4 linked regions of the Rattus norvegicus genome follow. The protein of the gene in region 4 purifies or fractionates together with the protein of the main gene of each other region. This does not show direct contact. Links are inferred from orthologs where the notes say so. Each region holds a gene or a part of one and is shown on either strand. Other genes may lie near its edges.

Evidence for each region.
Region 1: the proteins of Rpp40 (region 4) and Rpp30 purify together in Homo sapiens (affinity purification with mass spectrometry; 3 studies listed by BioGRID and IntAct, counting the BioPlex papers as one, with this or other methods). This does not show direct contact. The link is inferred for Rattus norvegicus from reciprocal best matches to the Homo sapiens genes RPP40 and RPP30.
Region 2: the proteins of Rpp40 (region 4) and Rpp25 purify together in Homo sapiens (affinity purification with mass spectrometry; 3 studies listed by BioGRID and IntAct, counting the BioPlex papers as one, with this or other methods). This does not show direct contact. The link is inferred for Rattus norvegicus from reciprocal best matches to the Homo sapiens genes RPP40 and RPP25.
Region 3: the proteins of Rpp40 (region 4) and Pop4 purify together in Homo sapiens (affinity purification with mass spectrometry; 3 studies listed by BioGRID and IntAct, counting the BioPlex papers as one, with this or other methods). This does not show direct contact. The link is inferred for Rattus norvegicus from reciprocal best matches to the Homo sapiens genes RPP40 and POP4.

Annotation. Positions count from the first base shown.
Region 1 is NC_086019.1:243,217,529-243,224,408, reverse strand, and holds the end of Rpp30 (ribonuclease P protein subunit p30), read right to left. Parts: intron 6,557-6,880; coding exon 6,519-6,556; intron 5,881-6,518; coding exon 5,801-5,880; intron 3,589-5,800; coding exon 3,479-3,588; 3' UTR 2,850-3,478; downstream 1-2,849. UniProt on the Homo sapiens protein: Component of ribonuclease P, a ribonucleoprotein complex that generates mature tRNA molecules by cleaving their 5'-ends. Also a component of the MRP ribonuclease complex, which cleaves pre-rRNA sequences.
Region 2 is NC_086026.1:66,800,504-66,807,435, reverse strand, and holds Rpp25 (ribonuclease P protein subunit p25), read right to left. Parts: upstream 4,175-6,932; 5' UTR 3,990-4,174; coding exon 3,390-3,989; 3' UTR 2,794-3,389; downstream 1-2,793. UniProt on the Homo sapiens protein: Component of ribonuclease P, a ribonucleoprotein complex that generates mature tRNA molecules by cleaving their 5'-ends. Also a component of the MRP ribonuclease complex, which cleaves pre-rRNA sequences.
Region 3 is NC_086019.1:100,100,787-100,108,786, forward strand, and holds the start of Pop4 (ribonuclease P protein subunit p29), read right to left. Parts: upstream 4,271-8,000; 5' UTR 4,113-4,270; coding exon 4,106-4,112; intron 2,044-4,105; coding exon 1,991-2,043; intron 682-1,990; coding exon 455-681; intron 1-454. UniProt on the Homo sapiens protein: Component of ribonuclease P, a ribonucleoprotein complex that generates mature tRNA molecules by cleaving their 5'-ends.
Region 4 is NC_086035.1:29,150,369-29,158,191, reverse strand, and holds the start of Rpp40 (ribonuclease P protein subunit p40), read right to left. Parts: upstream 4,990-7,823; 5' UTR 4,970-4,989; coding exon 4,847-4,969; intron 4,638-4,846; exon of another isoform or gene 4,393-4,637; intron 3,124-4,392; coding exon 2,979-3,123; intron 2,333-2,978; coding exon 2,264-2,332; intron 862-2,263; coding exon 766-861; intron 137-765; coding exon 11-136; intron 1-10. UniProt on the Homo sapiens protein: Component of ribonuclease P, a ribonucleoprotein complex that generates mature tRNA molecules by cleaving their 5'-ends. Also a component of the MRP ribonuclease complex, which cleaves pre-rRNA sequences.

The sequences.
Region 1 (6,880 bases), on a different chromosome or scaffold from region 4:
TATCTATAGTAAATTTTCTCTTCCACCAACCTAGGAATAATCATGTTCTTTCCTTTTAATTTTTCTTTATTCAGAACAATTTTAGACGTCTTAATAAACACTGTTTTATTTCAGTGTGCATGGACCAGTTAAGTAATCTTGTTTGAGGGTCTAGGTTAATCTTCCTGTCCTTTTACACATCGTAGGGATGAATACCTACATGTGTGCGTTGTTTCTACCCAGCCAGTTTTCTTTTTCTTTTTTTATTCTTTCTCCTAAAAGGAGAATCTTACTATGTAGCCAAGGCTGGCCATAAACTCAAAGATCCCCCCAAATGCTGAGATTATCGTGAGTGACCATGTCAAGCTCTAACTTTACTTACTTTTTTTTTTTTTTTTTTTTTTTTTGGTTCTTTTTTTCGGAGCTGGGGACCGAACACAGGGCCTTGCGCTTCCTAGGCAAGCGCTCTACCACTGAGCTAAATCCCCAACCTCCCTACTTACTTTTGAAGAATAAATTGTAGACATCTCTATTAAGGTTGACGTTAGATTGTGGCCACTTTCAAAATATTCTACAGCCTTTGCCAATTGTGAAAACATTAACTTTACATCTGTTTTAAACTTTCCCAACCTAACTAGCAAACACATCAGCGATGACTAGTAAAGTCTAGCGTTTTCGTGTCTGTTGAGTGCTTTTTGATCCTTACTTGTTCTATTGTTTTTTACTTAATGAAGTTTGTCCCTCTTGAAATGAGGATCTCATACAAGTGTTTTATTTATTGAGGATGTGCTGCATCCTTTATTTGCTCTGCAAAGAGGAAATAGGACAGGATGAAAAAGGGGAGGATGTGGTCTCAGGAGAGAGCTATCCTCAGCTAAGCCCTTGAAATGTTCAGGCTCTGGCCCCAGGCTAGCCTCACAGTGCAGTAAGACTTCCCAGGCATTGTGAGGTAAGGTTAATGCTCTGGGGGAAGGGTATTTTTTAGTACCCAATATCTGGACCATCTGGAGGATAGGTCTGCAAGCCTGGGAAAGGGGTCTGGACCGACACTAGCGCTATTTATCATGGTATTATGTTTGAGACTGAATCTGACTATGTACCTAACCGGTCTTGAACTTTGTGTGTTGTCCTGCTTTGCTTCAAAGTCATGATTGGCCTTCCCAAGCTTCCTGAATGCTATGATTACAGGTATGCAGCACCCACCGCTAGTTGTTTACTTTTGAAAACAAGTCAGGAATGGTGATTCCAATCTCTCAAAGGAGATCATTTGAAGGTAACTTTCCTAGACGATATTGTTTCCGGCAGAACATTCTAATTTCATAGTGCTAGAGACTGAACCCACAATTCAGTGTGTCACAACAGTGAGCCACAATCCTAGCTTCTAACATATGCTCATAGAAATCAACTGACATTTAATTTTCTGGTTTCAATGATTATACTTGAGTTTATTCCAATCTAAGATCGTTTTAGAAATCTACATTTTGCCTTTTCACTTGTTTTTTGTTTTTGGGTCTTGTGTAGCCCAGGCTGGCCTTAAGCTTGCTATGTACCTGAGAATGTTGAACCACTCCATCTCTTGTCCCCACATCCCAAGTTCTAGGTAGGGGTGCAGGCTTACATCATCTTCTGGCTTATTGCTTTTCTGTGCTGATTTACAAATTTGGCTTGTCAAAGCTTGGAACTACCTGAATTTACTGTGTTGGTATGACAGAGAGCTTAGTTTTTACCTCCTGTAAGGGTAAGAGTGGAGAGTGAATGGATACTTTCTATATGGCAGGCCCTGCTCTAATGCTTCTATGAATATTAATTGTTTAACATTGGCAGTAATGGCATCTGCAAGGAAAAAGATGAAGTGAGGCAGAGGAAGATTATAGTTTGTTTTCAGTGTTTGCTCTTAACTCTACTAACTTCCCCATAGAGCCAGGTAGTTCAGTATCCCCAAGTGAACAACCTAGCACACCACTGGGGTGGGACCCTGTGCTCCCTGCTCTTTCACTGCCGATTCTGAATCTATCATTAGGAAGAAGTGACAGATGTCTGTGCGTGCTTATTAACTTTCTCTTTGTGAACACCTAGGCCCTCAGCCCATGGAGTAGTTTCACTCACACACAAGGCGTTCTTCCACCTCAACGAACGAATCTAAGTACTCAGTCCACAGTCTTGTCACCCAGTTGATTCTAGATCCTGTCACATTGGCCATCAAATGTACACACATTTTCTTTATGTATTCATCTATTGATGATGTCTAGGCTGGTTTCCCAAGAATAGTATTCAGTGAACAGTCACCGATGCTATTTTCCGTCAGTATGCTTTACATGTGTGTGCACAAACATGTGCCTATGCAATATTTCCCCACTGCCCCACTGTAGTTCCATAGGCCACATTGGCCTCAAACTTGTGATCTTTCTGCTTCAGTCATGGCCAGGAACCTTCACATCTAGGACTCATCAAGGATTTCCTTTGCTCTGTATAAATGTAAGAGTGGATACTGGTTTTCATTCCATCATTTCTGCTACCTATTTGAATATTAATTTCCCCCTTATTTCTGTTACTACAGAAAGAACAAAAGCCTTAAAGAGAACTAAGATAGCCTTACAATCCTGGACTAAAGCTTCACTGACTTTAACCATGTGCTTACTTGCTAATATTTGATCTCAGTAGCTATGTCCGTGAAAGCAGCATACACCCGGTCTTAAACACCTGCCTCCTCATCTTCGGAACACCGTTCTTCATCGTTCCTTCCTGCCCTTAACTCCACCCCGTCCTTGGGCCCTTACGTCAATCTGGCATAAATCCAGGTATTTACAGAGATGGCTGCCTACTCAGGCTAATGAACTTGTTGTTGAAAATTATTTCCAAAGGATTTTTTTTTTTTTGAGCCAAATGCTTTAAACCTATAGCAACTAGGAAAATCAGTATTAGCTACTGAATGATGTCTAACTAAAGGGAGGAATATGTCTTCAGGACAACTTGAAGGCAGGAGGGAGCACATAGAGGGGATAAGCAACTCTTGTGAGTGCCCTTCTCCTTTCACAGGTCCAGGAGGCCTTCAGAAAGGCTTTAACCCGAGCAGGACATCAAAGAGCTTAAAACATAATCAGTTGGTTAAAGTCACCTGCACAACAGAGCTTAAGTCTTCAAAATAACCACTTTTTGGGATAGTAAAAGTTACAAATCCATATGTACCAAGAACAAAAAACATTAATTTATTATTTTTCAATATTTTACAATATCGAGACATCTTGTTTCAGTGCACCTACTGCTATTCATTACTCACATGAAGGGTAATAGTTTTTCTTTTAAAAGTATATCTAAATTAATCGTTAGTCTTTAAAAATGCTTCACTGGGTTTTATTTGCTGTTTTAATGTCTGAATATGAAGCTGTTTTTATAGACTTGGTTTCTAGTTTAGTGAAAACGTCAGCCGAGCGGAGTGTATTTGCAGTGACTGATGAGCTGTGAGGGGAGGAGCAGCGTGATGGAGACTCAGGCTGTCTCCTCAGCCCTCATGTTTAGCTTTCTTGCACGCTGGAAGAGATTCATCCTCTGCTTCTGATGACCGGGGCTTCTTCACTGTAGAAATAATTCCAAAAGCAGTTTTCCTAGTTTCTGTAACACAGAAATCACATTGATAAACACAGTTTTACTGCTGTTTCATTGAGACAGGATCTCACCTGTACCCAGGCTGGCCTTGAACTCCTTACACAGTCCAGCCAACTCTGAGCCTCCTGCCTTAGCCTCCTGAGAGCGGAGACTGCAGCAGATGTTGGTTTACCCAGCATTACCCCATTTTCCTTGGCCTATAGCCCTGTAAATAAGAAAGCCAGAGAGAGCTCTTGAGGGCGTGGGTGCCGGTTATGATCAGTATTTTGACCATCTGGTTTGTTCCTAAGGATTTCCTTTAGGTAAGCTGCAGAGCAGGGATTCTCCACGGCTCTCTCCATGGCATCTGATGAGGTCAGGTCAGAGCCAGCCATAAGTGGCCTAGCAGCTGCTTTATGTAGGGTAAAAAGACAGGGAACCACAAGCATTTTTGCACTGCTCCCACAGCAAGGGCTGTGGTGACCTCTTCCTATCCCACATGCCATCACTATCCTAGTTGTCACTGCACCTCTGTACTGACCAACAGTGGCCTGGTGTACAGTAGCCACCTACCATGCAGAGGGATTGCCTTGTATGCTCGGCTCAGTTAGCAGTGGAGCTGAACTTAGATCTAGACAACTTGTGTTAAGCACGTGTTAGCAGGCTGGGCGCTGTTATACAGAATGTAAGATCCTTACATGTTCAAAATGCTGGGAAGGAAGTGCACTTCGAATAGACATTACAATGAAGGCACAGGACAGTCACCTGCCTGATGAACTAAGGAGCACACTGAAAAGTGACACTGAGGAAGGGCAGGGTGAGGAGGAAGGGGGAAGAGCAGTGCTGCAGGGGATGTGGGTTCTGCCTCTCACCATGGGCTTCACACTCCACTCCAGTACACAAACGGTGCATGTGCAGACCATGGGAGAAGTCCAGGAGTCGGAGGGACCTGCCTCAGGACCAAGGGGACTAATGGGAGGTGGTGGGAGGGAGTGGGTCAGAAGGACCGACTGGAGGAGAGTCTGCACAAAGAGGACTAACGGTGTGTGTGTGTGTGTGTGTGTGTGAGTATGCACAAGAGACTAATGGGGGTGAGACAAGGAGGGTGGAGGGGTATGGAGGGATATATACTCAAAGCACATTTATTAAATTACAAAGAAATGGCCTTTTAACCTAGTATAATATCTTTACATAAGCAATACCCCCAACCCACCCAAAATACGTAACAGCAGATGCATGATCACGTAAACCCAAATGAGAAACATTCTGAGTTATGATGAACACAAAAGTTATAGACTGAGTTTAGATAGCTGGACTTAAAAAAATTTTTTTTTAACATTTATTTATTTTATATATGTAAGGACACTGTCTTCAGACACACCAGAAGAGGGCATCAGATCTCATTACAGATGGTTGTGAGCCACCATGTGGTTGCTGGGAATTGAACTCAGGACATCTGGAAGAGCAGTCAGTGCTCTTAACCACTGAGCCATCTATCCAGACCCAAAAATGTTTGTTTTTTTTAATTAATGGTTTAATATTTTTGTTTCTTTTCTGTTGCTGTTATAGAATACCCTGATAAGAGCAACTCATAGAGTAAATGGGTTTATTTCAGCCCACAGCACAAGGTGAGTCCATCACGGTAGGGAGCTCAAGAGCTCAAGGCCTGAAGCACCCAGCCATGTCGCAGTCCCAGCTAAGGAGCACAGGTCTGAGCGCTGGTGCTTAGCTTGCTTTCTCTGCCGTATACAATCCAGGACCTCTACCCAGGGAGTAGGGTCTTCTCACATCCACTAACCAAACCCTTGCATTCCCAGGGGCTCACTGTAATCTAGATAACCCCTCACAGGCGATTCTGGAATGAGATGGTTCTAGATCCTGTCAAACTAACACTACTATTCCCATTTCTGTTCCTGAAACTTTTTTTTTTTTTTATTTTTTTATTTTTGGCTTTAGCCGGGAGAGAGACCATCCAGTGAGAAGCAGGAGGGAGTCAAAGGCCTCTGAGAATGTGGGCAGAGGACACTGTGGAGTCACTTCTGTAAGGCAAACGACATATAACGACATATAACGCACACTACAGAAAGTAAAGCCTGAAGTGAGGGGAGGGACCAGCGTTTGGTTAGAACTGGTTAGAACTGGTTCCTTATGGGAACTCTGTAGGAAGGGTAACGGGCACACATACGTCAATTATTGACGATGACCTGCCTCTGGGACCCTACGATATGAATATGCTCACCTCCATGGAGAAATGCAGCTCGGCAGTTTGTGGACACGGCAGCCTTGCCTTCATTTTCGGACAGCCCGAACAGCAGCCCTCTGACAGGGTCAGTAAGGACTTCAACCCAGTCAGCCAAAGGGTAGGAGACAACACGAACACAAACAGAGGACAGCTCACCTGGCCACAGTGGCAGACAGACTAACTCTACAGCAGGTCTTAGCCCGACTGAGACTGCACCTGAGAAGCCTCATTTAACTGTTTTCATCCTGCATAGTCCCTCGCCTCTCTTTTCTTCTGCTTAATCAGAAAACCAGGAAAGGGGGGTTGGGGATTTAGCTCAGTGGTAGAGCGCTTGCCTAGCAAGCGCAAGGCCCTGGGTTCGGTCCCCAGCTCCGAAAAAAAGAAAACAAACAAACAAACAAACAAACAAAGAAAACCAGGAAAGGATAAAGAAGTCTACAACTGGTTGTAATTGGCTTGTGAGGCAGCTGATCAGGAAATTTCCAACCAAAGGATAAGGAACATCAGGCTAACTCTAACAGCACTTTTGATTACATTTTCTAAGGGAAAATTCTAGCTCAATGTGATGGCAGAAGGTAAGGGTGCCTGCTGCCAACCCTGTGGCCTAGGACGGATGCCTAAGACCCACAGGATGGAAGGAGAGACCGAACTCCTGAACTTGTCTTCTGATCAACACCCAATAGGAACACATGTTTAAACAGAACACAGAGGATACAAGTTGGCCACGTCATATGGTCCTCTTATTTCCAAAGGCTGACATAAGGAAAACAGAAAATAGAACGAGATGTTATTAACATTTTAATTATTTACAATAAGTAAGTACAACTCAGTATCCAAAGATAAGTAAATTTCATAAATTAAGATCCTTATAATTGTGATAATTTTCTAAAAATAAATAACAAACCATATAAAGGCGTTGTTAACAAGGTAAAGGGAGAAGTAAAACCACTGTTTTCTAGTTATTTCCTAATATAAACATACACAGGCCCAACCTGAAGGCCGCATGAACGGGATATACTTAGCAATCACCATGGCAAATCAGTTAAAAGCACAGACTGGCAGTCCGTCAGTTGTCCT
Region 2 (6,932 bases), on a different chromosome or scaffold from region 4:
GAACCCAGGGCCTTGGGCTTGCTAGGCAAGCACTCTACCACTGAGCTAAATCCCCAACCCCATAACCTATCTTTCATGGTGACCCACCTTTCTTACTCTGCCTTCTGCCCGCACTTTCTTCAATTATTCCTCTGATACCTATATGTATTCTAATATCTAGGTTAAATAAAGGGGATTAGTTTGTCCCTCTTGATTAGAATAATGACAAAAACCGGGCCAAGTTATGAGGTTAGGAAAACGGAGGGCAAAGGTTGAAGGTGAGTATGTGTCTGGCATATCTTCTCTAGATAATGAATATACTTTAGCAGATTCATGGCTAATGTATGGCAACTCCTGAAGCTTATACAACCTTTCTCCGCCACACTCCACCATTTGAACCTTAAAAGGTGTCACTCCTAAAATGTCAGAAAAGCAGGCAAGGCTCTGGCCCCGCTAGGATGAATGCTCAGAAGGCTGCCTTTGTGATGCCTGGAATGGCAGTGATGCTTGGCCTTAATAGTGCTAAGATCTGGGCTGGAGAGATGTCTCAGTGGTTAAGAGCTCTGACTGTTCTTCCAGAGGTCCTGAGTTCAATTCCCAGCAACCACATGGTGGCTCACAACCATCTGTAATGGGATCTGATGCCCTCTTCTGGTGTGTCTGAAGACAGCTACAGCGTACTTATATATAATAAATAAAATAAATCTTTAAAAAAAAATAGTGGGGGTTGGGGATTTAGCTCAGAGGTAGGGCGCTTGCCTAGCAAGCACAAGGCCCAGGTTCGGTCCCCAGCTCTGGAAAAAAAAAAAGAAAATAAAAAAAAAAATAAATAAATAAAATAGTGCTAAGATCTGCTCTGTCCCACCATCCCACTCCATCCCATCATCCCACACCAGAGTCTCAGCTCTTCTCTTCCTGTAGCTTTCAAGCTCCAATTACTCTTTACAACCTGTTTTCATTTGTTTGTTTTGTTTCGTTTCTTGATACAAGGTTTCTCTGTGTAGCACTGGCTGTCTTGGAACTCAATATATATACATGAATACACTATAGCTGTCTTCAGATACACCAGAAGAGGGCATTGAATCTCATTACAGATGGTTGTGAGCCACCATGTGGTTGCTGGGAACTGAACTCAGGACTTCTTTTTTTTTTGTTCTTTTTATCGGAGCTGGGGACCGAACCCAGGGCCTTGCGCTTCCTAGGTAAGCGCTCTACCGCTGAGCTAAATCCCCAGCCCCTGAACTCAGGACTTCTGATAGAGCAATCAGTGTTCTAAACTGCTGAGTCATCTCTCTAGTCTCCTAAAAGGATATTTTTTTTTTCTTTTTCTTTTTTTCAAAGCTGGGAACCGAACCCAGGGCCTTGCGCTTTCTAGGCAAGCGCTCTACCACTGAGCTAAATCCCCGTGTTCATGACTTCTATATCTTATCTTTTCCTTTAGTTTCAGAAGCCCAGTGGTCCAGTAGTCAGGTACCTCAGTTGTCTGGATGGTTTACTGTTGCTGGCCTCAAACTCCACGTGTGTAGCCAAGGACGATCTTTAATTTTTGGTATTCCTCCTTCCACCTCTATGGTTCAGGTATTACAGGCATGCACCACCATGACAAGTTGGGGTGGGCAGGGCTGCGAGTAAAAAGTGAGACTATCCATGCTAGGCAAACACTCTACCAGCCGAGTTACCTCCCCAGCCAAGCCTTCATTCCTTCCATGCTTCTTGCTCCATAGCAGGCTCACAAACACATCTAAACCCCTTGGCTCTCCCTAGAGATTCCTCAAGAACAAGAAATAAGGCCGGACAAATTACACACCTGTAATCCCAGCGTTTGGGAGGCTGGGGCAGGAGGATCAGTTATTATCCAGTCTGCACTACATGGCCAGACCTCCCCTAAAAAGAAATAATTAGGTCAGGGGGGTGGGTGGGAGGCAGAGGGCAATGAACGACAGTCTGGATGACACGAGTCAGTGATTCAAAACAGAGCAGAGATAGTGTTAGGAGAGGAGAGTGCTTTCCCCTAGGCGCCCCTCCATCAGCTGCAGAAACCCACATCCTCACCAGTGGGATTTATTTCAAGGTTCTACAAGCAAAGTGACTTACAAATGTGTTCTCTCCCATCTCCTTTCCAGAGGTGCTGAGTTCCACGGGGTAGCGCCTGCCCTGAAGATCCTGAGCTGTATGCTGCACAGCTCCCCGACTTCCACAGCACACAGCATACCCCCACCCCCTCCAGACTTGGACTTGGGCTGAGAGGCATCTGAGGCTGTTATCTCTCAACCCACAGCTGTGCAGGGCTGAAGGCAGCAGCTTATCAGGGAGCCTGCAGTGATTCACAGCCCAAGCTTCTCTGCTGAATAGTAATTTCCAGCAGTGGATTTGTGCTGTCTCTCTCCCTCCCCCTCTCCCAAGGGTGTGCTGTCCTTTTGCAGAGAGAGGGCAGCGAAGGGGAGCCCCTGCTCCTGGGGCTTTGTGCCTGCCTCTGGGTAAGAATGGCTACTGGGAGGAGGGTGCAAGGTTAGAACCTTAGCATGGTTGGCCAGCCTTGGCAGGCTGCCGCTTCCAGCTCGTCAAGGCTCCCCCTCCTTCCCCTCCCAGAAAAGCAGCAACACTGCTTCCTTTCCCTTGTGGGGATACAACAGGGACACAGACCTCCAACCCCCTCCACCACAAGTCCCTCTTTCGACATTTTTGACGCTGCCCCGTCTGCGTCTGACCTTGAAGACTCCAAAGGCTAATAGGGCTGAAGGCAAGCATGCCAAAGTGGGCTCTGCACAGGCGAGCGGGTAAGGGAAAAAAAAGAGACAAAACTGGGGACGGAGCCATTTTCATGTTTGTTTTATTGGAAGCAATACTCCAGCAGGACTCAGGGGAGGAAGCATGGCAAGTTTCCTCCTGGGTCCCGTCTCTGCCACCATGCAACAGGGGTGAGGGTGGGGGGAAGCTAAAAGGAATATGCTAGGGTGTGGGTGGGCAGAACAGGGTCCAGACATTTTCAACTTGGTCACCCTCAAGGAAACAGCTTCACAGCTCCTGCTCTCAGTTAACAACAAGGACGGTTTTTAAAGCCTCAACTGTCAGCCTCCATGCACACTGGGTGCTTTTAACGTCTGGGTCCCCAAGAAAGCTCAAGAGTCCCACTACCCACCAGGCTTCCCTAAAAAAGATGGCCTAGAAAAGGTGTGGGTGGTGTTCTGTGGCTTCTGGCAACATGTCCCACAAAGTTTTCCTCGGACTTCAAGAATCCTCTCTTGTAATTCTTGAGCTCCCTCTCCTGTCGCCTTGGGATCCGCGTTGTCATTTTGAGGACCAATATTCAGGAACATGGGCCCCTTAAAACCCAGGTAGGAAGGGTGCATGTGGATGTAGGTGTGTTGAAGATATAAGATCCAGTCTAGGTGGTTCAGAGGCGAGAATTCTCAGGCAGTCCGGTCCTCATTCTCAGCCTCTGGCTCAGGCTGAGACCGCTTAGCTGTGCCTTCTCCAGCTGCAGATTCCCCCAGGCTCCTCTTGGACGTCGACACGGTAGGAGGGGACGAAGGACCAGGACTGAGGTTCGGGGGCTGGTAGCCAAGCTGTCGTGGATCCAGTGCGTCCTTTGAAAGTAGGATGGCGAGGCTCGGTACATTCTTAAGTACACTGAGACTGGCGGCCGGATCGCTGGGCGTCTGACCCGGTGTGGGCCCAGGCGGGAGGCTCTGCCACACCTCGCGCACGCTCCTGTAGCGCAGCCGCGTGACCTGGTGTAAGCCCGCCAGGCGGCGCTTGAGAATCTCGGCGCACGTGACGGTCTTGGTGGTGGCCCGGCCGCAGCCGCTGAAGACGATGGCGCGCGTGGCTGGCTGCGCCATGCTAGCGGTGGCGAAGGCCAGCAGGTTGCGGATCTTGCTGCCCTCCTTGACCCGCATGTGTACAGCACCAGGCGCCAGATCTGCAAAAGGGCCAGAGCTCGGGCTGCCACCCTCATCACCGTCCCCCGCCGGCGCCTCCTCCGAGCGCACCTTACGGAAGTTCTCCATGCGCCGTCGTCGCTGGGATCGCAGGTTTTGCCATGGGGCCGCCTCAAGCCCGGGGCTGCATGGCCGCGGGTCGTGCCGGGCGAGGGCCGGCAGGAATTGGGATGCTGGCACCGAGTGAAAGCTGGAGGGTGAGCAGGGAACGCGGAGTCTTCAGCCCAGACTTCTACAGGGTAGTGCTGTTCTACTCTGCGCCCTCGGAGCCTTGTGCTCCGCGCCTTTAGCAGAAGCTCCGCCTGGGAGCGGGATAGGCCCTGCCCCTTAGTCCAGGCCCCGCCCCAACTCTGCGTGTCTAGTCCCAGCCCCGCCAGCCTTTGGGATCCAGCGCTGGTGCTCAGCGGCTGAGCAGGGGTGGTTTGGGAGGTGAAGTTCCCCGAAGTCACCATCTGTCCTCCCTGAACCAGCCCTCTTGCAGGAACAACCTAAATAAAAACTATGCTTGAGGTGCAAACGCCGATTCAAGCCTAGTCCCTAAGCCTTGCGAGTTCCAGCTCAAGGGCATCCCTAGACCCCTCCTAGGTAAGAGATTTCCAAACCACCTCTTGGGGCTTCGCTTCTCCAGCCCTCCAGGGACCTCCCTCCCTTTCTCTCTATATATTCTTGCGTCAAGGACAGCCAGTGCATGGTCAGCAGAGTGTGGGAGGCGTTGGCTGCGGCTGCACGCAGCGCCTTCCCTGGGCTGGGACCGCTACGTCGTGGCTTGGTCTTTCAGTAGCTGCTTGGAATGACTTAAGTTTCAGCTTTGCTCCTCTTGATCATACCTCCAGGCTCCCGGCACCTATACATCTCTGAAATGTGGGAAGTGATGCGTTGGGCCTGCCTAAAGTGAATGGGGAACAGGGGACCATTTCTTCCAAGGCGTTAAATTCTAACATTTATGCCTGAAAGTCCGTTACCAGAGCTGCGTGTATTTTTAAGTGCGTGGCTCAGCCCGTGCTAACGCGGATTTCTGACTTCCAATTCCAGGTGGAATTCCTTGCCAGTCAGCCTTGGCCTCTAGAAATCCAGAGGATTGTTTTTGTTAAACGGAGAGAAGGCAGGTTTTAAGAGGTGGGAGGCAGGGTGGAGTGCCTTGGTGGAATGTTGGGGGTGGGAGTACTTGCAAACTCTGGAAACTCCACAGAATCTAAGGAGAGGCTCGGGCTCTGCTGGGAGGTGAGATGAGCGTAGAAAGATGAGGCTAGGGGCCAAGGGCTGATGAAAGGAAGACGGTTTAATAAAGAGTGACCCTATCTAATCCTCCCCTGGGACCATGTCCTCAGTCTTCAACCGGCTTCCACGAAAGGCAGGGAGTCAGACAGACCTGTTAAAGCACAGGGAAGGAAGAAGCACTAAGGACTGTAAGGAACTGTGTTCTCCAAAGTATCAGCAAGATGGTATCTGGATGAACATAGCTTCAGTCTAGGAGTAGAGCTACCCGGCCCTCCTCTTCCTCTTTGCTGTCTGTGACAATTCTCAGCCCCGCGGCTCAGAACACTGGCCTTATATCTCATCTCTTCTTGGAGTGTGGCTGCAGCACCTGGACTTTTTTTTTTGCCTCAAGTGTGAGTGACTGACTCCAATCTCTTGCTCACACTCCAGGAGTGTGGCTGGAACTGGGACTCTGTCCTAGATCCAACTCTTGCAGACTTCAAAGGAAGGAGCAGGCTCTGGAGGCCCAACCTTGGGACGACACCACCTCTGCTGTGCTCTTGGGCAAGTGGTGGAACTTAAAGTCGGCAGGTTCGGATTGGCTTGAGAAAAAGTTCCAGAAAGACTAGAAGCTATGTAGGAGTGTGCTGGTTGGAAAAGAAGCGAGCTCTGCGTCCCTGGGAGTATGCAAGCCTGAGTTAAACACTTGGAGACCCTGTAGGCAGTACTCTATAATTTGGAAGACCTGGGGACTGCAAGTTTGTTCCATAAGGAAGGGGTGGTTGTGCCTCTACCCAAGTTGGCCCTCAAGGACACCGCCACCCCCTCTCAGCACCACTACCCTCTGCCATAGACTCCCCTATTCACTTTATTTTCGAGTCTGTGGAGGGAGAACGCAGAAAAGGCCCAGTTCCCCGCCCGCGTAGCTTCCTTTCCCGCTCCCTCTGCAGCACTTAAAATGTAAATGCACATCGTGATTAGCCGCGGGGTCGCTAATTACAGCTGAAGCCATTCATTACGCTGTCAGCTCTCTCTGTCGCCTGCCGACTGTGCGCTCCCTCCCGGCCCGGGAGGGGCGGCAGCGGGGGAGGTGATGGGGGAAGGATGCGGGGACTGGGTGGTGCTGGCAGCCTTAAAGCCCAGAACTGGCAGAGGGGCGGTGAGCCGAAGAAACCGGTTGGACCGTGAAGAAACCTTGGTGTCAGAGAGGAGAGAAGCTCGGGAGACTGGAAGGAAGGAGATTAAGTGAGGAGGATGAAGAGGAAGGTTATGTGAGAAGGGATACCAGGATGGGAAGACGGCCAAAGGAGAAATCGTGCGAAATGGGTAGGGACCTTCCGAAAGGGGACAGACGACAGCGGGAGGAGAAAGAAGGTTCAATATGGGGAAAGTGGGTAAATAAAGGCACTATCTTTGCTACACACAACATCATGGTTAGAAAGGCAGCCAGGACGGTATGCTGAAAAAAGCTGGTTGCCCGCCAAACCCTGCGGATACGTTTGCATATGTAAATGTATTTTTAAATACTTACAAGAAAACTGCACACTGGCATCTGTTACCTCTGCAGCCACATCCAGATTTTGTTGCTCTCTTTAAGAAAAGGATTACAAAATGCGGATAGGAAATTAAGTGAGCGTAAAGTCTTGGAGGAACCTGTATAATTGAGGTACTGACCCGGCAGTCCAAGCTTCATTAGCCTCTTTCTGCTTCTTGTGACCTTGGATAGTTGACTTAACCCTTGTGCCTTGGTTTGTCATCTGCAAAAGGAGGGTAATTATAATAGCCTGCTCCCTGTGCTCCTGAGTTCCTGGGACA
Region 3 (8,000 bases), on a different chromosome or scaffold from region 4:
CAAACTCACAACGAAAGAAAGACATCCTCCCTCAAGACAGGTCTGAAATGAGTAGGCGGGCCCATTCCTTGGCAGTAACCTCTGAGTGGGTAATATTGTCCAGCTATATTCAAAGCTACAGGAAGTACACATTAAGGCATATCAGTTCCTCTTTTCTAGAAAGTTCAAAAACAAACAGCCTGTTGCCATGGGAAACAGACTCACTTATTAGTGAGGCTAGGACAGAAGCTCCATGATGAGAACCCTCAATCTCACCAATGCCTGCCTTTTAGAGGCCAAGCACAGGCACAAAGAAATTGGTAGGGGGAGACTGCCCCCTTGTGGCAGAAGGCAGAGAAGTACCTGAGCCTAAGTGGGCACAGATATCCAGTGAGCTCTAGGCTCTCCAGTCTACACCCGGACAAGGAAGACTAGGCACTGTTGGAAGGCAAGACCTTTAGGAAGGTGGGCATACCTCTGTTGCTCTGGTTTAATGTCAAAGAGCCGCAGCTCTCTCCTCTGTTTGGCAGAGAGGCCTTTGGATTTCTTCTTTGGCCTTGGCTTCGGCTTCAGGCGAGTGAAATATTCCAAGATCACAGCCTTGCGTTGCAGATGGCTCTCGCAGTCTTGTTGGCTCATGTGAGGTATGCTCTGCTTCAGGAAGGCCCGCACAAAGGCCTCAGCCCGCTGGGTTCCCAGCTCCTGCTCAGAGACATGGGGGTGTTGTTCACTGTTCTTCTGCCCAGACACCAGGGCCCTCATACCCTGTTCCAATGAGCCACTATCTTTGCTGATCTGTCTATCTATCCACTGAGGCTCACAAATCTCTTTTGCCAAGGGTTTGCTCCACACAGCTGCCAAGATGTAGAAGAAACACTCATATGGTACTTGTGACAGTGTCCCACACTGCAGCCAGTTCAAACACTGACTTCCTGTCCTGCTTCTTTGAGATTCCTCTACTGAGGATCCAAGCCCTATTGTGATTTAGTACTTCTCTAATCCTTGTAGGGAAGGAAGCCTGAGACATGGATGATACAGGTTATCCAATCAGTCATGACCAGCTTATAAGGGGAAGGGAGCGGGGGGTTGGTAGGGAAATGAGCCACTCCGGCACTAGGGGAAACTGGGGTTTCCAGGAAGGTCAAGTCCTTTGAGGAGGACAGTGGATATCAAAGTCCTCTTTTTTTGGTTCTTTTTTTCGGAGCTGGGGACCGAACCCAGGGCCTTACGCTTCCTAGGTAAGCGCTCTACCACTGAGCTAAATCCCTAGCCCCTCAAAGTCCTCTTTAATCACTTGTCCTCTGGAGTTGGAGCAGCAACAATGTATTCCTCACCGGGCAACATCAACTGAAACCCTGTTACCTAAGGACTGACCTCTTCCCTGAGTCATTTGCTGGGAAGTCTGGGTTAACTGCCAGCTTTAGGGTAATGTATGAATAGTGACTTCCACCCTCTCTATGCTAAAGCAAGGGAGTGAAAATATAGAATACATAACCTTCGAGGTGCCTGAAGCAGGGATAGCTCAACAATTCATCAACAAGTGACATGAGGACACTTCGGATCTTGTAACTAGGTGGCCTCTCTTTCATTGGGGATTAAAAACTGAAGGTCAACGGGCCTTTTGAAGTCTTGATTTCAAGGACATGTTCCCTTTAGGAGCCATAGGTGAAGCTTCTGCCCAAATGACAAAGCATCCGGAAACACCCAGACAAAACTCCTAACAGCGGCTTATGGAACGGGCTGAGCACTGCCCAGGATACTGGTTTCAGGTGGGCGAGGCTGTCATCCCTACAGAGAGGGGGATGACAGGAAATCAAGGAGTCCAAGTCCCTCAGAGCTGACTCTGGTAGCCTAAGGAAGGAGTCTGGCTCATGAAGACATCAGCACAAAAGGTTTTTATGGGGCCTAGTACACAGAATGGAAAGGAGAGGCGTAATCCATGGGAAAAGACAGTTACACCAGCCTTAGAAGATCCCGAGCCTCCTTTGCCGTCACCTCTGACAGACTGTACCTGCACATCGTGGTCCTTGGCTTCTTTATGAGAAAAGGCATGGTAGATCACAGCTGGGGGACGAAAGACAAAAACAAGGAGAAATGATTCTTCCTGTTAGGAACGAGTATAATAGCCAAGGCTTTTCCAACTAGGACAAGAACTACACTTACTCAGAGAAGATGATCCTTTTATTTTATGCTGCAGTGCTGGAGGACTAATGTGAGGGGAGTGTAATGTATGCTGAGCAGGTGCTTCACTGTGGACGTAGACCCCAGCCCTCTTACGTGTCTGCTTTGTATCCTAGGCTGGCCTCCAACCCACACCAGTCCTGTCTTAGGCTTCCAAGTGCTAGTAGCTGGGATTATACACATGTACCACCACACTGACCTTATAGTGGTACACATGTACCACACTACCCTTCCCTCTTGCCAACTTCATCCTAGAAATTCCCAGGATGTAGTTTTTTTAGAAAAGCACCCCTCAAAGCTTAATGTGTTTAAGAATCACTGAGATCTTATTAAAATTTAGGGTTTTGGTTCCTACTCGACTCTGCATGTTCAAAAAAATTCCTCAATGGGTCACATTTAGAGTTAATCTGATTTTAAACACCCAAGAGTTATAATTACGCTTGGGCAGTGGCTCAGTAAGTCTAGTAAGTCTAGACACTAAAAGTGAGGCGATCTTAATGCGTATGGTTGAAACACTACATTTTGCTGACTACGGAGAGGCTTGAAAGAGGTTTTTTCACACCTTAAAATCTATAATGTATCCTGACCAGATAAGATACAATAGTCTCTTTCCAAATTCTAAATACCATCTTCAGGATGCCAAAACCTCTTTTTTTTTTTTTGTTCTTTTTTTTTTTTTCGGAGCTGGGGACCGAACCCAGGGCCTTGCACTTCCTAGGCAAGCGCTCTACTACTGAGCTAAATCCCCAACCCCGCCAAAACCTCTTTAAACCTCCTGTTTCTCATTTGTTTGGAGGAAAGCATCATGGGGCTCATGACCAGAAAATGCAGTTCACACCATACTCCATACATTCCACTTCTGAGCTAAGTTTGGTGGCATCCCCATCCCTTGAGAGGTAGAGGCCAAGCTGGTTTTACACAGTGAGTTCCAGGCCAGCCAGGAGAACATAGCTGGCTGTATCCCAACAGCAACAGTAAGAAACAAACAAACAAACAAACAAAAATCCATCTCTGTTTCCCTGAGTACATGCTTGAGCAAGCAAACAAACCAAGGCACTTACAAGTTTTATATACAGCATCTAGTTCTCCCTTGAACAATGGATTGAGATTGTGCTTTTTTTGTTTATTGAGAGTGGAACCCCAGGGAGAACTTTGTTGTATTGACCCCAGATGCCTAGCATCAAAACTGAAAGTCTTTCTGCAACATGCAACAGGTAGGGGACACTCACTGCTGGTTGAGCAGTTGGTTGAGTGAGTGTGTGTGCATATATATGTGTGTGTGTATATATATATACACACATATATGTATGCATAATATGTATATATTAATGTCATTAATCTTTCTAAGCAATTTAAAACAGTAGTTACTCCTTGTTATGCACATAGTAAGGTTGTAGCTAAGACATGCTAAGAAACTTGCTCTCTGAGAAAAGGGCACGGACAGGGGTGTGAATCGCCCGATCAGAGGCTTAATCTTTACGGCATCCCCTCTCTACTCTAATACTGCTCCAGTGCTTAACTGCCCTTCTGGGTGCAGGTCTTTTCAGCTCAAATATCAACGCCTTAGGTGTGCGACACGGCCCCTCAGCAGTGTTTACAGGGGCAGGGGCAAGGGTGAAAAGCCAGAGAGTAGAGGGGAGCAGGCCCTAGACATAAGTTATATGGGAAGGTAGTGGCTAGGTCCCGTCAAGGACTTGGACCTACCTCTTCTAGTTCCCCTGAGAAGCCCTTGAGGAGGACACACACACACTCGATCCTGACGTCCATTCCTAGCTAAGAGACTGAGTCGGCCGATTCAGACTTGGGGCCTCGATTTGTGTACTGAGTCCATTCCCTGGAAGATGTCTTCTGACAAGTGTCCCTGACTCATTTCACAGACCAACTTCTGGTTCCGGTGCTCTATAGTCTCACCTCGGCCCCATTCCGCGCCTCTCATTCCACTTACCCTTCATTGTCGGCCAGCTTCCGGAGCGCTCTAATGATGTCTCCTCCAGGCCTCATGCATTCTTTTCCTTTCTTCGCTTTGTTCAGAGGTTTTTACCCCCACTTGGATGCTTTTTTGTTTAAGTTTAAGTTTCCACCTGAAAAAAATCCGATAAGCCCAAGAAACAATTTACAAACTGCACGGACTTGCTCCAGCCGGCGTCAATTTCGGATCAGGCGCCTCTCTGACGTCATCGGCGTGATGGCATCTATGTGCGTCTGTCTCTGGCAACACATGCGCCTTGGGGTTATCTCTGTGGCTTGAGGGAGGGGCGAGGTTTGCAGGTCTTCGCTGTGTCGTTCACTTTGCAACCGACTGTGCCGAGAGCGGTCGGGTCGAGGGTCAGGATTAATGAAGTATAGCGAGGCAAGCTGACATAGAAAGGACGTGAGGGAGATCGGGGACTAGGGAGGGCACAAGTGGTCCGGGGATATCGGCGGTAACGACTTTTTTTTTTTTTTTTTTTTATGCAAGGGGCTCACAATGTGGCCCCGGGTGACCCAGAATTTACTCCCGAGATTAATAGGCACATTTTGTACTGGTGGCCGGGGATTTAGTTCTGTTTCTGCTACTAAATACCTTTATAACCTCGTTTAAAGGTCTCTTTTACTTGATTTACTTGATGTCTTGAGCAAGCAGGTAGATACGTCCAGTTAGTGTAGCTAGTATAACAAAAGTTACATTTTATTATGCTGTGGGCCATTACATAGGTTCACCCCCTAAATTCCTAACTACATTCCTAAGCCTATCATCTCCCTAAGGCTACCCCTCTTGTGTGACTTATCTTAGCTGAAGGTCAGGCCCAGTCTCTAACAGAAGTTTTTGATTGGATCCTGGCAGTAGGGTTCGGGGAGGGGGTACGGGGGTGGGGTGGTGGTGGTGGTGGCTCTCCAGCCCCAGGGCAGATCAAGGTGGCTTCTCTCCAGACAATTGCTCTTGGTGTCTGCTTATATAATTCCACTGGGTGGCATGGGGTTCTAGGACTGGCTAGTTGTCTTGAATGAGTGATGAAACTGGGTTCTGATTATCAGGTGCTGCCTTTGGTGTAGTGGGGTTCCTTGACTAAACATTTTTATATGTCTAAAAGGCATCTTTCTTTCCTTCCTTCCTTCCTTCCTTCCTTCCTTCCTTCCTTCCTTCCTCCCTCCCTCCCTCCCTCCCTCCCTTCTTCCCCTCTCCTCTCTCTCCCTCCCTCCCTCCTTCCCTCCTTCCGGCTGGCCTTCCTTCCTTTCCTATGCTCATTAAATTGCACTCTGATGGTCTAAGAATGTTTGCTTTTTTAAACTGATTTTTTTTTTCACTCCTAAGACCAAGTTTCCCAGACACTTGCTGTGTGGTGTAGGCTGAGCTTGAAAGTGTAATATTCCTGCCTGAGCTTCTGGAGCATTAGAATTTACAGTCTCTCATTACATCCAACCCAGAAAGCATCCTTCAGACCAAGAACATTAGTGTCTGTCATTATGATAAAAGACAAAAGTGATTCCCATAGATCTGGGACACAAAGGCCCAGCCTAGCCTTTTTCTCTAGCCCAGTTATTAGGAATCTCTTAATGGACCCTTTTAAAATATCTAGCTTAGCTTTGGGTATCTGCCAATATTCCCTGTGACTCTCAGACCACAGTAGGGTGTGGGCTTTTCTGAGTAACAGTGACACACAGTTGCATACTTACTAAAACCTTTGCTTTTTAAGGAGAGCCTCACAGTTTGTCACCCTCAGAAAACTATATGAAGAGAGATACCTACTAGGATTTCTGTGGTTCTTGTTTATGAGAGCAAAGTACTGGACACAGTAGTGGACAGGGATGGACTGAGCAAATGAAGTGTGTGCTGATCTCTTTGGTCAATAAGGTTTATCACAAGTGTGAGTGAGTGCACACTCAGCAGGCTGGGGCCGGAGGGTAGAGAGGTTGAGGTCTAAGCATACACACGGAGACCCTGTCTGAATAAGCAAGGAAATGGAAGGTTTCAAAAGTTCTGATGTGTAGGCATCTCTTAGAGTTACCTAGCAGAAGGGTGCCTGGAATATCTGCATTTTAAAAGTTTTTAGTTTATGTTCATTGGTGTTTTGCCTGTGGTTATGTCAGTGTGAGGTGTCAAGAAGCCCTGGAAGGGGAGTTACAGACAGGTGTGAATTACCATGTGTGTGGTGGGAGATCACGCACAGGTCCTCTGGGAGGGTAGCAGCTGCTCTTCATGCTGAGTCCTTCCAGCACCAAGAATCTATATTTAAAAATTGTTTTTAAAAAGTCAGTCAGTCAGTCAGTCAGTCAGTCAGTGTGTGTGTGTGTGTGTGTGTGTGTGTGTGTGTGTGTGTGTGTGTGTGTGTTGGTTTGAAGCCACCCCGTGTGGAACCTCTGGAAATGCTACATGTGCTTTTGATCCCTGAACCATCTCACCAGCCCCCAGAAGGAGCAAGCGTCCTTGTGGCTTTGTAGAGCATCTTTGGGGAATATGATCACGTGGTATAGCCGGGTCTTGAGGTAGAACTAGTCCCAATTTTCTAAGAAACCAGCAAATTGATTTCCAGAGAGGTTGTACAAATCTTTATACCCATCAGCAATGTAAGAGTGCTCCCCTTGCTCCACATCCTTGCCAGTATGCGCTGTCATTTGAGTTTTTGGTTTTAGCCATTCTGATGGGTGAAAGGTGGAATGTCAGAGTTGTTTGATTTGTATTTACCTGCTGAGTAAGGATGTTGAACAACTCTTTAAGTGTTTCTTAGCCATTAAAGATCTCTCTGGTGAGACTTCTCTGTTTAGCTCCGTACTTCATGTTTTTTCTTTTCTTTTATTGGATATTTTCTTTATTTTACATTTCAAATATTATCCCCTTTCCAGGTTCCCCTCAGGAAACCCCCTATCTCATCTCCCCTCCCTCTGCTTCTATGAGGCACCCACTTCCTCCTGCCTCCCCACTCTGGCATTTCCCTACACCAGGGCAGCAAGCCTTCATAGGACCAAGGGCTTTTCCTCCCATTGATGCCTGACAAGGCCATCCTCTGCTACATATGTGACTGGAGCCATGGGTGGCTCCATGTGGACTATTTGGTTGGTGTTTTAGTCCCTGGGAGATCTGGGGTGTCTGATTGGTTGTTATTGTTGTTCTTCCTATAGGGTTGCAAGCCCCTTCAGTTCTTTCAGTCCTTTCTCTAATTCCTCCATTGGGGACCCCATTCTCTGTCCAATGGTTGGCTGGGAGCATCCACCTCAATATTTGTCAGGCTCTGGCAGATCCTCTCAGGAGACAGCTATATCAGGCTCCTGTCAGCATGCACTTTTGGCATCATCAATATTGTCTAGGTTTGGTGGCTGTTCAGGTAGAACAGGCTCTGAATGGCCATTCCTTCACTCTCTGCTCCAAACTTTGCAAACTGTGTCTCACTTCCTACTCCTATGAATATTTTTATTCCCCCTTTTAAGGACTGAAGCATTGGCACTTTGGTCATCCTTCTTTTTGAGCTTCATGTGGTCTGTGGATTGTATCTTGTGTAATTCGAGCTTTGGAGCTAATATCCACTTGTTACCTCACATAGAATATTTTCTAGTTCCATCCATTTGCCTATGAATTTCATAAAGTCATTGTTTTTGGCATTTCCCTACACCTGAATAGTACTTCCCCAGCTGAATAGTACTCCATTGTGTAGATGTACCACATTTTCTGTATCCGTTCCTCTGTTGAAGGGCATCTGTGTTCTTTCTAGCTTCTGACTATTATAAATAAGGCTGCTATGAACATAGTGGAGCATGTGTCCTTGTTATATGTTGGAGCATCATTTGGGTATATGCCCAGGAGTGGTATAGCTGGGTCCTCAGGCAGTTCAATGTCCAATTTTCTGAGGAAGCTCCAAACTGACTTC
Region 4 (7,823 bases):
CACTTCATACCTGTATGATGCCAAGCCAAAAGGAAATCAAACTTCAAAGGCTTCTTTTCTTTGAAGGACCAAGATATTCTTCTGTATTTCTTAGAATCCAGGTTAAGGGATAAATCCATTAGATCAATGGAAATGACTTAAAGTAGAAAGAGAAATATTTTGTTTCATTCAGATCATACAGAGTTTACATTGTGGAGAAACGTCTAAAGTTTTGGTAAGTTTGTGAGTAGTACAGATTATTTTGTTCTTCACCTTTTGACTTCCTCAAAAACATATCCCTCAGCGGGCTATTTCTAGTGCTGAGAGCTGAAAACTATAGTTGTTTAAATACTTAAAATGCTTCCTAGATCAAAGATCCAGGGCAGAGGTCTTCAGGAGATCAACTTCAATCTACCCGTGTCTGTGGTAGCCTTAGTAATTGATGTCCATACCAGACAGTTTCCTCAAAACCACCTCTTCACCTGTGAACTTCCTCCGGTAATCATAAAGAAACTGTGTACAAACACACCACGTTGTTGCTTTCCCCTTCAAGCAAGGGGTAGTCCAGTCCTATAACCCTTATTAAACTTGGTGTACAGCCAGAAAGGAACAATTTAACAGTACCAACTAATCCCCCAAGAAGTACAACCAATAGCTCCTTGAGTCAGGATTTCAAAGGCAAGAACCCTACTTTTCTGAATAGAGATCAGAGGTAAGGCAAACATTTACGTTTTATTATAAGAAAACTGACTTGCTAGACACCAATGGTGCACGCGCAATACTTACTAAACCTCATACTTTTTCTGCCAGAATACCGAGATGGATGGCCTTGGAGTCCAGTCTCTTCATAAGTATCTTTATCCAGTGATAAAATTAATTTCCCTACAAATCAAACAATAGCTCCTATAATAGAGAAGTTAAAATACGGCTGATGTTCTCTCTACAAAAGTTAGGCGTCAGAGCGGCGAAATGTCAGTGTAAGAACACGTGAAGAAACTATCCACAGCACATTGATACTATCAAGCAATGTACCCAACTAGTCTGGAACTTTGCTCTGTAGCTGAGGCTGGGCTCAAACTGGTGGCAATCATCCTGTTTCAGCCTTCCGAATACTGGGACTGCAGGTGAGAGCCACCAGGCTTGGTGGTATTGTCTACCACATATACATATGTAGATATTACAACAGCAAAACTACAAACAACTAAGTTTGTATAAAGGAAGAAATAAACTGTGGTCTGTAAATTACTCCAGATATCTTCTTTAAAGTTTAATTTAGATTAATGTACTTGTATGCCTGGTTGTAATTACACCAAAGAACCTGCCAACATCAGAAGAGGATGTCCGATCTCCTAGAATATGAGTTGTGAGCTGCCATGTGGGTGCTGGGAACTGAATCTGGGTTCTCTACAATGACAGGAATCGTTCCACACTATTGAGCCATGTGCCCACCCACCCCCACTTCAAATACCTTCAAAACATTTAAAAGCTTTATGTTAAAGCCAGGTAGAGATGTGCTGGTTCGTGTGTGCAATCCCAGCACTTGGACAGCTGAGGCAGGAGGAAGGAAAATCTGAGGCCACTCTGGTCTAAGTGGCAAGATCCCACCTCAAAAAACGTCTAAGTCACAACTATATGCATTGAAGCAGGAACGTGTCTATGTCATAAACTCTGGGAAATAAGACTACTGAGAAAAAATGTCCACCAATGTGTAAAAATGTTACGCTTGCTGGTGCTGGTGACACAGGTCTTCAATCCCAACACTCATGAGGCAGAGGCAGGTTAAGGCCAGCCTGTTCTACAGAGTGAGTTCCAGGGCAACCAAGGTTACATAGAGATACCTTGTCTCAAAACAAAACAAACAAAAATATGTATGCTTATAAATTCTTAAAGAATAAACATCAAACCGTGCCATCTAAGAAGAAAGTCAGGGGCACAAAGATGGGCTTCATTTTACTCTGTTTAAAGCTATACGACTTGACTTTTTAAAAAAATTATTATTTTATTACTTTTATGTGTGTGGGTGTTTTGTCCTCATGTTATATCTGTGCACCATGTATGTACCCGGTGCCTGTGGGACCAGAACGGGGCGCTGGGCTTACTGGAACTAGAGTTACAGACGGTTGTAAGCCACCAAGTGGGTGCTGGGGACTGAACTCTGGTCCTCCGGAAGAGCCACCAGTGCTCTTAAATGCTGAACCATCTCTCTACCTTCCTTAATTTTTTTTTTAAAGCAGTGCTATTTCTTTTCTAATGAGGAAAGGAGAAAAAAAATGAATGCTGTCACCATTTGGTAGGAGAGCAACAGTATTATCCTCATCAATACTTGTATTGTACGTTAATGCAGAGAGTGAACCTGTAAGAAAAAGTCAAGAAAAGTCATTAGGTAAATAAAATAGCACAACATTTATTTATGAATTATTTTCCCATGACAACAAACTTCCAGGTAGGTAACAGTCAGTATGTAGCACAGCTCTAACGCATTCAAAAAACCCAATACACCCCAGAGATAAGTTGGAACACACACATATGCTATGTTCCAGCTAGATCACCCCACTACTCAGGTCACATTTGGGGTCTTTTTGTGAGAGTTTACTTGCAGACTAGAACCTATAGTCTTGGGGATTCTAGCAGAAAGGTGTGCCACAAAGAGGCAAGAGGACAAAAGTTTGATGTAAAGTTCTAAGTTAATATTCAGAAACCATTTGAGCAAGTTAAAATTTAAAAACTTCTTCATGGTCATCTGTAGGGATTCAACCTATTTCACTGAGTTATTGCAAGGGCTAATTAAATTTGGTAAGATATTTAGCTATCACATAAAGAGGACACAGGAAAGAAAACGACAACACTGATGGATAGAGAAGGGACGCATGCAGCTGACCACATGATCTATCCTCCACGGGCCCTTTTACAAGCACACGAAGAGCCCCAATATTTTCCTGAGGTCTTCCCATAGCTCTCATTCTGTTTGTTCCTATGAGACACTAAATGCTTCCTCTTACCTTTCTTTACAAAGGTGTTGATGAATTCATGTGTAATTAATTCATGAAGAGGTAACTTCTTCACAGAGTAATAGGGTCCCATTTCCATGACCAGGTCTTTTAGTTTTTTTGATAGCAGCCCACACTCAGGAATAAGAAATGAAACCTATTAGAATGTAGGAGTACAAACAAAGTTATATTTTATGAAGATTAACACTATGGTTTTAGAAATGGAATATCAAAATTGCTAGTTATTCCTTCACAAGTTTTGGTGGGACATACAAACATGGGTAACGTGAAGATTTGAACATGCTTGGTCCAGGGAGTAGCTCTATTAGGAGGTACGGCCTTGCTGGAGTGGGTGTGGCTTTGTTGGAGGAAGTGTGCCATTGTGGTCATGGGCTTTGAGACCCTCATCCTAGCTCCCTAGAAGCCAGTCTTCTCCTCCTAGCAACCTTCAGAAGAAGATGTAGAACTCTCAGCTCCTCCTCCTTAAAATCATGCCTGCCTGGACGCTGCCATGTTCCCGCCTTGATGATAATGGACTGAACCACTGAATTTGTAAGCTAGACCCAATTAAATGTTGTCCTTATAAGAGTTGTCTTGGTCACCGTGTCTGTTCACAGCAGGAAAACCCTAGATAAGACAGATGTGTGCACAAGCACACACAACACACACACACACACACACACACACACACACACACACACACACACACACACAGAGTCACCTCCACACACGCCCCCAGGCCTCAAGACAGGGTTTCTCCGAGTAACCCTTGCTCCTTGCTGGTCTGGAACTTGCTCTGTATATCAGGTTAGCCTTGAACTCAGAGATTCACCCATCTCTGCCTGGGTTTAAAGGTGTGCATCACCTAAACTTGCTAGGCAACAATTCTTTTAATCTATTAATCTCAGGCAAACAGATATTTGACTATTCAAGTTTTTTATTTCTGTATCTCAATGTGAGGCAAGAGACTAAGCAGAAATATTGTAATTGAAGTATTATTTGAATCTCATCTTTTGCATATAAGTAGTATATCTTATGTCCTTCACACCTTATATTCAAAGAAATAGAGGATAATTCAACAAGTCTTGATTTGCTTACTCTGGAGTCATGAAATCAAAGAAACTGCTCCTGAGAACACAAGGAATTTAGGGACATTCAGTTAGTAAGAAGTTATATAGAAGGAGAAGTGCTCCTGGAAGCTTCCATTTCCTAGACATACATCTCTGACCGCAGGCATAACTTTCAACCAAAGAGATGTAAAATCCGCGCGGATTTCAAATGATCCCCAAGCGCACATCTAAAGTCCGTTCCGCAAAGCTCCAACAACCAGCCTAACCTGTTCCTTACGGACAAAGACATCAGCTAATTTATCTGAGAAACCTATCAGGCCGATATTTAAGGTGTAAAATGCTTAAGCCCTTATCACCTTAAGGTAAGTGTTTTTGGAGTTCCTCGGTTGTCAAACCGCGTGATGCTTTGGAAAGAGTCACAAGCTGATTCACAGAGAACTGCACAGACTTAGGGAGCAAGTCGGCTACGTGTTGTGCAGGTTGCATTCCTAACTCCTCCGTGCCTGCCCGACCCCCGCATTGAGTTACCCAGGGTCTCAATCTTGAACCAACCAGCCAAATTCACAAACTAAAACTCCGCTGTTCCTCATAGGACCGAGCGCCACCCTGCGTCTGGTGCATGCTGGGAATTGTAGTCCTATACAGTGCCAAGCAAGGCAAATAGCAAAATGAAGTGACTACAGTTCCCAGCATGTCGAAGGACGAACTCGGCCCACCCTCTGAAGCCGAGGAGGTCTTGCCGGGTGATGCACGGCGTGATTCTACCTTAAATCTCTCCAGCCCAAGGGAGACCGGGTGGACCTGACTCACCCTGTAATTATGATAGTGCGTCTCCACGAGATGCTTATGGCGAGACTTATCGTGGCCAAAGTTGGATTTCTCACAGACCAGTAAGTGCCGAGGCGCCTCCTGAAGCCTGCGCAGCGTCGCCATGTTAAGGAAGTGTCCAGGCGAGCCTCTCCTCCCGGCCCGCCCCCTCGGCCCGCCCCTTATCCTACCATTCGCCGCTTTCTGACTACGCCCCTCCCTCCACCACGCCCCAACCCTTCTTTCCTTCCCTCTCCCTTTCCCTTTCGGTCAACTCCTGGGGGCACTGAGTCTGAAGGTTCTCAAGAACCTGGCACGTCCATTCTATCCGACAGAGTTTTTCCCTGGAGGAACAGTGCACATACCTGGGATGGACCCAGAGAAGGCCTGCACCCTTCCACCTTATGAAAAAGGGGAAGATAGGACAGAGGAAAGGCCTAGTACAGTCAGAAAATTCATTTGCTGTGCGGCACACTGTTTTCCTGGCTCCTCACATGATCTGGTTCCTAATGCTCACCCACCCTTAAGTTCCCACGGAGCCTTCCCAAAAAGGTATAGGAAATTGTGGAGGAAGATAATATGGCATTTCTGCATTTTCATTTCCAACAGGACTTCTTTGCTTTGTTTTTCGATTACTTGATTCATTTTTTTTTCATTTCCAACATTACTATTTTGTGATTTTCCCAAAATCTCAGTTTCTTTGCTGAATTGTACTTCCATGTACACTGTCGCTGTCTTCAGACACACCAGAAGAGGGCATCGAATCCCATTACAGATGGTTGTGAGCCACCATGTATTGCTGGTAATTGAACTCAGGACTTCTGGGAAGAGCAGTCAGTGCTCTTAACCGCTGATCCATTTCTCCAGCCCCCATAGCTAATTCTTTTTTTTTTTTTTTTTTTTTTTTGGTTCTTTTTTTCGGAGCTGGGGACCGAACCCAGGGCCTTGCACTTCCTAGGTAAGCGCTCTAACCACTGAGCTAAATCCCCAACCCCCCCCCCATAGTTAATTCTTAAAAGCCATATTTCTCTTCTCTCTCTCTCTCTCTCTCTCTCTCTCTCTCTCTCTCTCTCTCTCTGTGTGTGTGTGTGTGTGTGTGTGTGTGTGTGTGTGTGTGTGTGTGTGTGTGTGTGTGTATGTATGTATGTACAGCTAACGTTCCTCTCCAGGTCCTTGATTGAATTAATTTTTTGTTTGAATCTTTCTTGAGGTCTTAAAGTATTTTTACTAGTAAACTTCTGAAATCTCCCAGCATTTTACCTATTTCAGTATCTCCGAATCCAGTTGCTAAGTCATTTTGTTTTGAGGCAGGATCTCATTATATATCCTGGCTGGCCTGGGACTCAATGTATACTCCAGGCTGCTCTCACATTTGAAGAGATCCACCTGCCTCTGCCTCCTGAGTGCTGCGATTAAAGGTGTGCCTCACCACGCCCAGATAATTGATTTTGTTTTGGAAGACTCCTGTTGCCATGTTTTTTTCATTCATCCTTCCTTTGTTTCTGCGTGTGGTTTTGACATACGGTTATTACTGAGCACCCTACTTTCCAGGACTCAGTCACCAGTATTCATAAAAGAGTAAACACATGGCTGAGACAGTAACAAAATGGAAGATATAGAAATACACCCAAAGTTGCTGTTATTACTAATAGCCATGAAACAGAAATTTACCATACTAGTGTAGAATATGCTAGGGAGTTAACGACTATGTAGGGTAAATGTGAAAATAGCAAGAAAATGAAAGCAAGCCTAAGGAAAGAAAGAGAAGGGGGGATGGGAAAGTGTGTCATGGATGGAGAGTGAAAAGGGAAAGGGTTTAGGGGGAAAAAAACAAAAGGGGGAAATCTCAAAAATAAAAAATCTTGAATACTGAATTATATAAATACGAGAGAAGTAAAAGGAAAAAGAAAGTAGTGGAGAATATGAATAAGATGAACATCTGCATGAGGTGTGAAATGTACGAGAGAGAAATAAAAATGCTTTTAAGGCATGTGATAAAGGGGAAACACTAACAGTGTGCTAAGAGGAAAACGGGAAGAAAGGTAGAAGGAAAGGGAGAAAGGAAAGCGAGGAGATAGATGTTGAAGCAGCCTCTTCTGTAGTGCTTGGAATAGGCGAGGAGAGAGTGTCATTGACCTTGCAGACTCTTGTCTTGAGCCTGTCTTGAGCAAGTGTTATGTGTCCTCCCGAGCTGTCTTGTCATAACTTCACCTTGTTCTTCAGGCGTCTCTGCTGACCGCACTTAGCTTTTCAGTCTATGCTTTGACTTCTCTCATTCTCCAGAGATTCCCCAGGTCATACTTCCCATGGTGCTAATGTTCTAGCTGAGGGTTGTCTCCTCAGTCCTTTGGGAAAGAGGAAAGAAACCAGAGCACTGCCTGTGTGGGCAGAGAGCTTGTCTTGCACTTTTCAATCTCTCTTAAGTATTGATTGTCGGCTGGGAGATGCAGTTGTGGACATCAGATAGTCTATTGGAGCTTCAGAGTTCTTAGGATCTATAGCTAAAGAATAATTCTTCTATGACACTGACATTTTGACAAAAAAAATACACAAATAGTAATTGTGGAAATGAAAGAAAAAAAAGAGTAAAGACTCAGAGGGTAAAGTGTTACCAATAGACATGACTAAGCAGAACAAAGGATATGACAAGGTCGAGAAAACCATACCTTCAAATATCAATAAAGAAAAGAAGGAACAGGACCACAGTATTCAAGAACTCTGGGTTATGATCAAGTGACAGAAGTTAAGAATCTATGAGCCAGCAAGGAGCTGAGATCAAAACTAAAGGTGTAGAGAATCTATTCAATGAAATTATAGCAGAAAAAAAAACCAACTCAAATTTAGAGAAAGATCTGGGCATCCAAACACAAGAGACGTTTACAACCTCAAATAGACAATGGCCAGACCCTTTCCAGGACATGATGAGGACGTAAAAAATGTAAGGAAAAGAAATAATATTAAAAGCTGTAAGGGAAAAAAA